Linked DNA regions of Kluyveromyces lactis. The main gene of each other region encodes a partner of the protein of the gene in region 3 in a complex. Links are inferred from orthologs where the notes say so. Each region holds a gene or a part of one and is shown on either strand. Other genes may lie near its edges.

Region 1 (3,415 bases), on a different chromosome or scaffold from region 3:
GATATTATCAAAGGAGAAATGATTGGCAAAGTTGATGGTCATCGAAACAGAATAAATGCCGTCAAGACGAGCCCTGATGGAATGGCAGTAGTGTCTAGCTCATGGGATATGACCCTAAAAGTTTGGACACCGGTTCATCAGTGAAATGATGAACTGAGAATGGTAATGCATATCGAAAAAAGCCGCAAAATAGCCCTTATAATACTACTGAAACCGCTCAGTTTGGCTCTTGTTCATCGCAGTAAGTGAAACTTTAAGATGCAGCTGAGGAAGCCTCCACCAACCTGCAAATTTTATTGAGCAGCTGGTTCGGAATTTGAGACAATAATATTACAATGTCATCCTCTTGATGACGTCTCTTAGCAATTTCTTCAGATACCGGAGGAAATGTAACAATTGTATTAATTACCTTTTGAATAGTATCAACATCAGATACCGATATAAGATTAATAGCCCTTTGTAAGTTTGTAACTTGACCCAAACTTATTTCATCTTCATTGTAAATTGGTACACTGCCAGAATTTAATAACTCTTCCCGCAGTTTGGTTTGATGGTAGGGAAACCTTCCCTCATAATCAACATTGTACGCATTATTATCGAAGGATAGTTCGTGATGAAAAGTGTAAGTTGTCGAGCAAAATTTGACCTTTGCTATTATCTTTAGCTCAAACTCACCCCAACCTTGCTCATCTAGGGTGAAGGGAGGTTCCGTGAGTTTTCGTAGTGGTCGTTCAAATGTGGGATGAAGGTGATAGGTAACATAATCAAATAAGGTGGCCGGTTGCTCGTTTCCTTCTTCATCTAATATAAATAATTGCATTCTCCATTTCCTTGTCGGCAGTTCGTAGACTTTAGGAGCATCTGGTAAAATAATTTGTTGAGTTTTGACTCTTATTGTTCGAGGAACGTAAGGCTGATATGTTTGTAAACAACCACTTGTTAGTGACAATGCTGCTAGTGACAAACGTTATGGCAATATTAGATTAAAACATACCATTACAAAATCTTTTTCCATTATGTTAAGTGTTGACTTGATGCCAATACAGTTTTCTATCGACGGCTTGCGGACCGTTGTGCTACAACAATAGTAAAACATAATGGAGTATTGTGATATGCTATCATGTAGAATTTGATTCAAACTATTATTTTTTTCAGAGATAAGCTCATCGGTAGGAGGTCGACAATAATTAAAGTCAAGTCCAAGGGCGAATTCAATCAAATATTTCAGTGCAATTTTCCCTAGGCTTGATTTGTCTATTCATTATAGTGTTCATTTGGTACTTTTTCTGCAAGCAGTGCCTGTTAGTGGAGATGTAAGTTATAAAATACAACTACATAATTGTAATGGTTAAATTAGATAAACATGTGAGAGGTCCGGTTACTCGGTGTTTTTCTTGACGTATTCCCATAAACTCTTCAATAGACTTTCAGGCAAGCTATATAAATCAATAACGAACTCACCTTCTTCGATATTGTTCGTAATATTCATTTCTGGAGTTTTGTTATCAGTTATCATTTGTACTACTCCAACCAATGTATCCTCGTTTAGTTTTGTTAAGCCAAATGCTAACTTTTCCAAGTTCACAGAGCCTTTCACTGTTGAAGCGGAGGCGGTCTTGGCTTTTTTCGTTTTTACATCACCATTGACAGTAGATGCTTTTCTCTTGTCACCTGGAGTGGTGGCAGCTGTCGCTGTTGCATTTGGAGTTGCTGCTGCTGTTGATGCTACTTCATCGACAGGTCCACTTTTCTCTAGTTCTGCTCTTAGAAGAGGCTTATTGGTAGGAACTTGGATTACATGATCAATTTCATAGGCATCTTTCATGAAATGTAGGTCGTGAGTTATCTTCTTCTCGCCCCCTTTCTCAAGAAGATGCGCACTTATCAACAATTCAAAGCCACCCCAGCCTTGTTCTTCAATTCTAAAAGGAGGTTCCGTGAATGTTCTATGAGGGTTTGCAAAAGTTGGATGCAAATGATACACTACCTTATCAAATATCGTGGCTGGAATTTCGTTTCCTTGTTCATCCAAAAGAACTAATTCAATGGTCCATTGACGCATAGGAAAGTTTTCTACTGGAGGTGGTACATCCGGTAGGACAGATTGCTTGGTCTTAATTCTGACCGTTCTCTTCACAGTCTGTTTCCGAAATATTGAATAAAAGGTCTGTTAGTAAACTCATTGTGAAAAGAAACCTTCTAAAAACGAACTGAAGAAGCTTTTCAGTCTTTTTTAATCATTACATACCGACACCATCGTTGGTTGATTTGATTGGGGGTTATAAGCACGTCTAATGTTTCTCTTCTGGATATTTTCGTACTTGTAATTGCCATTATTTATCTCTGAATTTGAAATTTAGTCAATTCATGTTTTCAATGTTTGGTGAAATTTAGAGGAAGTACTACAATAAGGTGGAGGAAGGCAGTTGAAGATGCATGCAAGAGTTACGATTATGCTATTGTGGAGAGAGCAAAAGACTATCATGTCCATATTCTCCCCACTTAGTAGTTACCAGAGAGTATTGGTTACTATGTTTTATCACGTGATCTGGCAAAGCATCCTAGCGAACAACATGGCTTTATCAGAAGTCTTTAGATAGAGAATTGTTCACGTGAGTCAAATCCATTGCTGCGGCTTGATATTGCATAATTGTAAGTACATTTATTTACGGGATTGATGTGCCTACTTAATCACAAGGGCGTCATTCATCGGAGTTTTTTTTTTAATGAATGACTCTGTACAAGTTTGGTTTTAGCTAGGTGATTTATTGGAACACTTTCTTAAATTGAGAGCTAATACTGGACCTGATAGCAGCTGGAGATGCCTTCAATTCGCCTGGTAGTGTTTTCCAGTCAATTTTTCCGAAGACCTGCTTCAATTGTATAGATGGCTCTGATTCTTTTAGATCTGTTAAAATCTGCACAACACGAGCGTCTACTTCCTCCCTAGAAGCAACAGGCAAGGCAGTCTGATAATTCTCGAGGATCTTTATCTCATTGGCTTCTTTCTCTACCAAATCTTCTCTCTTATTTTTAACAAATTCAGCGATGGAGTCCTTCCTTTGCGAGATTAACTTGGCGTACACATCATACAATACAAATTCATCTAGATCCTTATCCTTACTGTCAATTTCCTTGTTCTTAATTGTAGATAGTACACCTCTAATGGTTGTCTTTCTTAGGTTGTCTTTTGCAAGCATTGCCTTCTTCAAGTCTTGTTTTAATGCAGCGATCCCATCAATGTAGCCTTGAGAACTGGCAAATCTAACAAAGGTTCTGGTCGTTGCAGTAGCGCGAACGCTTGGGATAACACATCTTAACATCTTTGTATTCGCTAATGATTTGGATGCTTGTCTTGAAGATTGAACCAAACGATCAAGATTATAGAAGGTCTATTAAATGTAACGTTTCTTTG
Region 2 (3,402 bases), on a different chromosome or scaffold from region 3:
GGTTTCTTGCCAAGAAAGAGAGCTGCCTCTGTTAGAGGTAGAGTTAAGTCTTTCCCAAAGGACGACCAAACTAAGCCAGTTGCTTTGACCTCTTTCTTGGGTTACAAGGCTGGTATGTCCACTATCGTTAGAGACTTGGACAGACCAGGTTCCAAGTTCCACAAGCGTGAAGTTGTTGAAGCTGTTACCGTTGTTGACACCCCACCAATCGTTGTTGTCGGTGTTGTTGGTTACGTTGAAACCCCAAGAGGTTTGAGATCCTTGACCACCGTCTGGGCTGAACATTTGTCCGACGAAGTCAAGAGAAGATTCTACAAGAACTGGTACAAGTCCAAGAAGAAGGCTTTCACCAAGTACTCTGCTAAGTACGCTGAAAACGGTGCCCAAGTCGACAGAGAATTGGCCAGAATCAAGAAGTACGCTTCTGTTGTTAGAGTCTTGGTCCACACCCAAGTCAGAAAGACTCCATTGTCTCAAAAGAAGGCTCATTTGGCTGAAATCCAATTGAACGGTGGTTCTGTCTCTGACAAGGTTGACTGGGCTAAGGAACACTTCGAAAAGACCGTTGCCGTTGACTCTGTCTTCGAACAAAACGAAATGATCGATGTCGTTGCCGTTACCAAGGGTCACGGTTTCGAAGGTGTTACCCACAGATGGGGTACCAAGAAGCTTCCAAGAAAGACCCACAGAGGTTTGAGAAAGGTTGCTTGTATCGGTGCTTGGCATCCAGCCCACGTTATGTGGTCCGTTGCTAGAGCTGGTCAAAGAGGTTACCACCACAGAACCTCTATTAACCACAAGGTCTACAGAGTTGGTAAGGGTGACGACGAAGCTAACGCCGCTACCGAATTCGACAGAACCAAGAAGACCATCACCCCAATGGGTGGTTTCGTCCACTACGGTGCTATCAACAATGATTTCGTTATCTTGAAGGGTTCTATCCCAGGTACCAGAAAGAGAGTTGTTACTTTAAGAAAGTCCTTGTACACCAACACCTCCAGAAAGGCCTTGGAAGAAGTTACCTTGAAGTGGATCGACACTGCTTCTAAGTTCGGTAAGGGTAGATTCCAAACCCCAGCTGAAAAGCACGCTTTCTTGGGTACTTTGAAGAAGGACTTATAAACTCCTCAACTCTAATAGAGTCGAATTGAGTAAAAAGCTTTGCATGCTGTAATTTTATAGACTAGTTTTGGAGTACTCAAGAAAGTGTTTACACTTTCTTTCACTATCCCATCGGCTGGTTCATAATATTTCCTGTTGTTTTGACAACTATCTTTAAATATGAAAATATTAGCATTTGAATAAATAATAATTACACGCGCTTCCTTCTTGCAAGTTATTTTTCTGGAGAAGCACTGAAGAGCCTCCGCGGTCTTCATCAACGCTTTCTTCTCTTGCTCTTTTTCCGATGATTGGAGTACTGTTTCCTACACATGTCACTACAAAACCATTTCTCATTGGGTTTGGGTGCGGCTGATAATCCTACACAGGGGTAATGGAACCATTCGATGGCACAAGATTCATTATCACAAGCAACCATGGGTCCATACGACACATCTCTACAGAAACAGTACGTCTCTGTCTCTGGCTTGTGCGTCTTATCATGATTCACATGTTCTTGCTGAATCAGTTTCTGTTCCCTTTCTGCCTCTGGGTACCTTGATTTCATAGTGATCTTAATCTTGATCGGTTTGTGATGAGGCAAAGGTTTCAATTTCGGTTGTTTCTTCAAGTGACTATCGTACCTTGCCTTAATCTGAGAGAATCGCTCCAATTCTTGTTTTTCAAAATTGAGCCGTGAATGTTCTTGCCGTACTAACTCTAAGAGATGTTGCGCTTGTCGCAGCATCTCTTCTGAATGACATCCATCTCTATTAGTATCACCTATATCCAATGATTGTATAGTCCAGAGGGTGCGAATCACATCGCATGGTAAATGGTCCAGTGTACTGAGAAACCCGTACCTAACATCTTCCATTGTTCTTGAGCTGTTTCCTTCTAGCCGATTAACTAAGACCAGAATGGTCAATTCTATTCTAGGCGTTAGCATGTACTTACTCTTTCTTGAATGGCTTTTGCCATATGGATATGAATGGAAAGACGTTTTACGTTTTCCCAGAAGGAAAACATTCACGTGACAAGTCCCAGTCACGTGAATGACATTGATGTTTTTGGGATATGGAGTTCTGACCAATCACATCGAAGAACGTGCCGTCTTCTCATAAACCTCCGCACATATGGATATTTTCCCGTACTTAGTGACTTTTCGTCGGGAATATCGCCCTTAACACGCATCCTCCAGTGCGCTTAGGATAGAAAACCTTCAGAAAAACATCGCTTTCGAAAAATAAAAAAAAATACTTTAAACATAATCAATCACAAACAATTATCATTGGATTGGACAGAAAACTTAGCAGAGAAATGCTCACAGACAGCGAAAGGGAAAAAAAAAAACGGCTTGAAAATTTTGGGAATCGATTTTTTCTCTATGTAAAAAGCGATATAATGAAAAATATCTACAAAAATATAGTATATAATTCTTTTCAAACTAGAGAAAACTTTTTGGAAACGATATACATAGATTATTTATATATACGTTTAGTTGGTTATAGTATTAACCAGGGATTTAGTTTGCGCTGATCGATCAATCAATTCAACGGATTTGATTTAATATTTATTTTTGAAAAGAACGGAATAAAAGAAGCCTGCGTCTTTTAAATTTTTGTCCTTTACCTAACTGTCTATTTGTTCGTCTTTCTGGTACAGATATTAAGAAAAGAATAATAATACATTCTCAGGATATTATCCATTGTCTGTGTGATACGAATATAAATTCAAGAATATCAGCTTTGATTCATACAAATAGTTGTTAGAATATCAAAATTCGGGACATTTTTATCTTTTAGAAGAGAATTCAATTAATAGGAAACTAAAGTGATATCATAATAATAAACGATGTTCAGATCATTTTCTACTGCCGCTAAACAGGCCGTAAAAGGTACTTATGTTCAAAGAGCCATTGTTGGTGGTGCTGCTGTTGTCGGTATTGGTGCTTCAACAATGTTGTATGCTGATTCCTTGACTGCTGACGCTATGACAGCTGCTGAGCATGGTTTGCATGCCCCAGGTTACGGTTGGTCTCACAACGGTCCATTGGAAACTTTCGACCATTCTTCTATCAGACGTGGTTACCAAGTTTACCGTGAAGTTTGTGCTGCATGCCATTCTTTGGACCGTGTTGCATGGAGAACCATGGTTGGTGTTTCTCACACTAACGCCGAAGTCAGAGCCATGGCTGAAGAGTTCGAATACGATGACGAACCAGATGACCAAGGTAACCCAAAGAAGAGACCTGGTAAATTGGCTGATTATGTCCCAGGTCCATATCCAAACGAACAAGCT
Region 3 (3,047 bases):
ATAATTTGATCATCTTCTGATTTTAACTCTAGTTTATAGACAGATCCATTCCCATTTAACAAAACGTTACCACGTCCCGACAGTTTCCCGTAGCTCCTGAGAACCGTCACCTTATTCGATATCCATCTGAAATAGTTTAACCATTTGTGGAACCATTGGATGGAGAGCGAAGAATTCCCTTCAAAAGATACTACGCTCTTTGGGTTCAATACTATCCAATCCTGTGTACCGTTTAACTGTAATACAGATAGCGTATCTGAAGACTTACGAGATGATACCAAACAGTTGAAGGTGTTGGTTCCCACAAGTTTATCAAATCTGCTTAACGAAAGAGTAGGCCAAAACGTGAACCATTTATTATAAGAAACATTAACGTTGGATAATCTATCGGAATCGTGTATCGATACGATAGAGTTGTGCCTCACATATAATGGGATCGAAGGTGAAACTTGTATCGAGGCTAATGTCGGGTTGTCCCCCAATAGTTGGAATTGTGTAGTAGTAACATTAGATCCATCCTCTCTAGTGGTTTCAGCATGGTTATCAAACAATGGTTTCAATTCTAATTGTGATCCGCTCAACACATTGGATGGAATCACTGTTGTTGGTGACGGCCTTAAAATCGAGATAGAACGCCTCCACATATTTTTTCTTTTTTCGCTACTTTTTCTCACTAAGAGAGACAAAAACAGTTATTTGCTTCAATTGATGTCTAATCCGATTAAACGATCAACAATTGGGTACCTTTTCAAACGCTCCTAATCGACAGCAATTCACGATTCTGTCTTTGTTCTCATTGGTTTGTTTGAATGTGTAATTGCTGCTCTATCTTTTGTTATAATAATATCTAATTCTTTGAAGCTGAAAATTTCAAGGTTTTGGCAGTTTCTGAAAATTGATTGGCTGAGTGATACTCCAATTAACAATCAAGAATGGAGGTTAGAATTCATGCTAACCACACATACATACACCATTACATAGCACCTGAGTCTCATCTAAGACATTGGGACAATTCGGTTGGACTGGAAATCTGTAAACGATTCAATCCTTTGCTTCTACGAGTAGTTTGACGCAAGTTTTATTGATTAAACTGATTCTATGATCGTTGATCTGACGGATGAAAAGAAAAAGAGGCCTCTCAAAAATTAAGGGTAAGTAATTGAAAATACTTTAGGAAGAGAGAATACATAATGTTACAAAGTGATTAATTATCACGAGCATTTAAAGAGTGCTTCAAGAGAAATAGATGCGGGGTAAAATAATACCGTTTTTCTTCCCCCTCCCTTAGTTTCTCTTGTCTCTTGTCTCTTGTCTCTTGTGTCCGGTGTCCTGGACCTGGATATGTCTCAGTGAAGAGGGCAAACAGATAAGCTTCCTGTTCAATCATTGGACTTCGTTTGTTCTTGATGATTGGAAGCAGCCAATTGTTTTGCAAAAAGGTACGAACTTAATGAAAAAATGCGATCATTATCGTCCAATGGCTGGGCATTTGACGAATGTGAGTGGTCAGACAATATCTGCTGCGCAGAACTGCTCTTGTTGAAACCCTGAAACCCGAGCAGAATGTTCCCCATTCTGGAAGATGGTTTCTGTGATAGATACTCTGTTTCTTTATCGTATACCTCTTGCTCTAAACTATTCCACTTGGCTTCGAGTTGTTTCTTCTGTACTAAAGCATCTCGAAGCTTCTTCTTTAGTTTCTCGTATTCTTTCTTTTGTTCGTCCATAGTTGTGTGAGATGAGTGTTAGGTTATGTTAAATCACTTTACCGATAGAGTAGAACACAATCAAAACCAGATTCAAATCCGTTCGATAGCGGATCGTCTGTTTCATCCTTTCTTGTTATTATATATGCAAATTGGATGTTGAAGTAGTGCGTTCTTTCAAACAATATTAACATTGGCGACGAGTCCGGGTAACAGTACTGGAACTCAGTTTGGAATTTGAAATTCGAAGAACCGACGAAAAAAAAGCCAACATGTAAACATCAACATAAACAGTGTTATCAACTCTAGTATCCCGTTTAAGAGCCATAATTTTCCATTGATAGCAGTTATAATCGGCAAAAACAGGTAGCTGTTGAAGAAGTTAATCCTTATCTGCTTTTGAAAATTGAAGATCTTCTCTTTGTTCTGGTGCATATAGAGTGATTACGTTATATCTATTGCAAGTTCAAGATGCCGACCATGAAGAGTGTGGTGATACAGATCTCGCAGACTAGGGTTATTTGTGGGTTCAGCAACCAAGATTTGCCGCAGTTAATTGTACCATCTCAATATTTGGCCTATAAAAGAGATGGATCGGATGTTAAAGTTTTCGGTAAATGGGAAATGATAGAGCATTGCGACGATGAGAGCGCTGAAATATACCAATTGTACGATAAGAACGGACTTCCAAATGATTGGGATATGATGGATGCTCAATGGCAGTACATCTTTCAAAGCCTAGGCATACAGTTCGAAGACTATCCAGTATGTGTTGTCTTACCTTCCGACTTAAACAGTGCGCGTCGTAAGAGATTTATGGAACAACTGTTGGGGTACGGTTTTCCAATGGTCCAACTTTTGAATGAGGCTGTCTGCAACACGTTGAGTCAGGGAAGATCGAGTGGAATTGTGGTGGACATTGGCCACAGTGGAGTGAAAGTGGACGTTGTCATTGATGGTGTTCTTTTCAAACAATACCGCAAGGAGAACAAGATCGGTGGTGCATTCTTAAACTGGCAGATCTGCGATCAATATTTGAAGCAGGATTCGGGCAAATCAACGAAAATCTGGAGGGATGCCACTGAATGGCTACCCAACTTCAAGAATAGCATGCTGCAAGTTTCTCCGATTGAATTGGATGCTAATTATGACGTGGCTCCTCATTACCAACATATGGTGTCACCAATGGACTTGACCAAAAATTTCCTACTCGATAAGAAAACTCTCACCTTCACTAACAAACAGCTATACACCATTGGAGAACTCTTGTTCAAGCCAGTGATACACGTAAGTAACAATGCAAACGGAGATGTAGAAATGGCAGATGTCAATGACATAGAG

The links.
Region 1: EAF6 (region 3) and KLLA0_D06831g share a complex: the UniProt entries of both Saccharomyces cerevisiae proteins name them as parts of the nuA3 histone acetyltransferase (HAT) complex. The link is inferred for Kluyveromyces lactis from reciprocal best matches to the Saccharomyces cerevisiae genes EAF6 and TAF14.
Region 2: EAF6 (region 3) and YNG1 share a complex: the UniProt entries of both Saccharomyces cerevisiae proteins name them as parts of the nuA3 histone acetyltransferase (HAT) complex. The link is inferred for Kluyveromyces lactis from reciprocal best matches to the Saccharomyces cerevisiae genes EAF6 and YNG1.

What each region holds. Positions count from the first base shown.
Region 1 is NC_006040.1:587,456-590,870, forward strand, and holds KLLA0_D06831g (uncharacterized protein), read right to left. Parts: upstream 2,258-3,415; coding exon 2,249-2,257; intron 2,141-2,248; coding exon 1,379-2,140; downstream 1-1,378. Other genes in the region: STE4 (G protein subunit beta), read left to right, coding at 1-144; KLLA0_D06809g (uncharacterized protein), read right to left, coding at 254-820; AIM41 (Aim41p), read right to left, coding at 2,766-3,323. UniProt on the Saccharomyces cerevisiae protein: Functions as a component of the DNA-binding general transcription factor complex TFIID, the RNA polymerase II associated general transcription factor complex TFIIF, and the chromatin-remodeling complex SWI/SNF.
Region 2 is NC_006042.1:1,523,937-1,527,338, forward strand, and holds YNG1 (Yng1p), read right to left. Parts: upstream 2,051-3,402; coding exon 1,379-2,050; downstream 1-1,378. Other genes in the region: RPL3 (60S ribosomal protein uL3), read left to right, coding at 1-1,122; ubiquinol--cytochrome-c reductase catalytic subunit CYT1, read left to right, coding at 2,956-3,402. UniProt on the Saccharomyces cerevisiae protein: Histone-binding component of the NuA3a histone acetyltransferase complex. Targets the NuA3a HAT complex via histone H3K4me3 to facilitate transcription initiation at promoter regions.
Region 3 is NC_006041.1:567,756-570,802, reverse strand, and holds EAF6 (Eaf6p), read right to left. Parts: upstream 1,728-3,047; coding exon 1,380-1,727; downstream 1-1,379. Other genes in the region: AIM24 (Aim24p), read right to left, coding at 1-644; ARP7 (Arp7p), read left to right, coding at 2,178-3,047. UniProt on the Saccharomyces cerevisiae protein: Component of the NuA4 histone acetyltransferase complex which is involved in transcriptional activation of selected genes principally by acetylation of nucleosomal histone H4 and H2A. The NuA4 complex is also involved in DNA repair.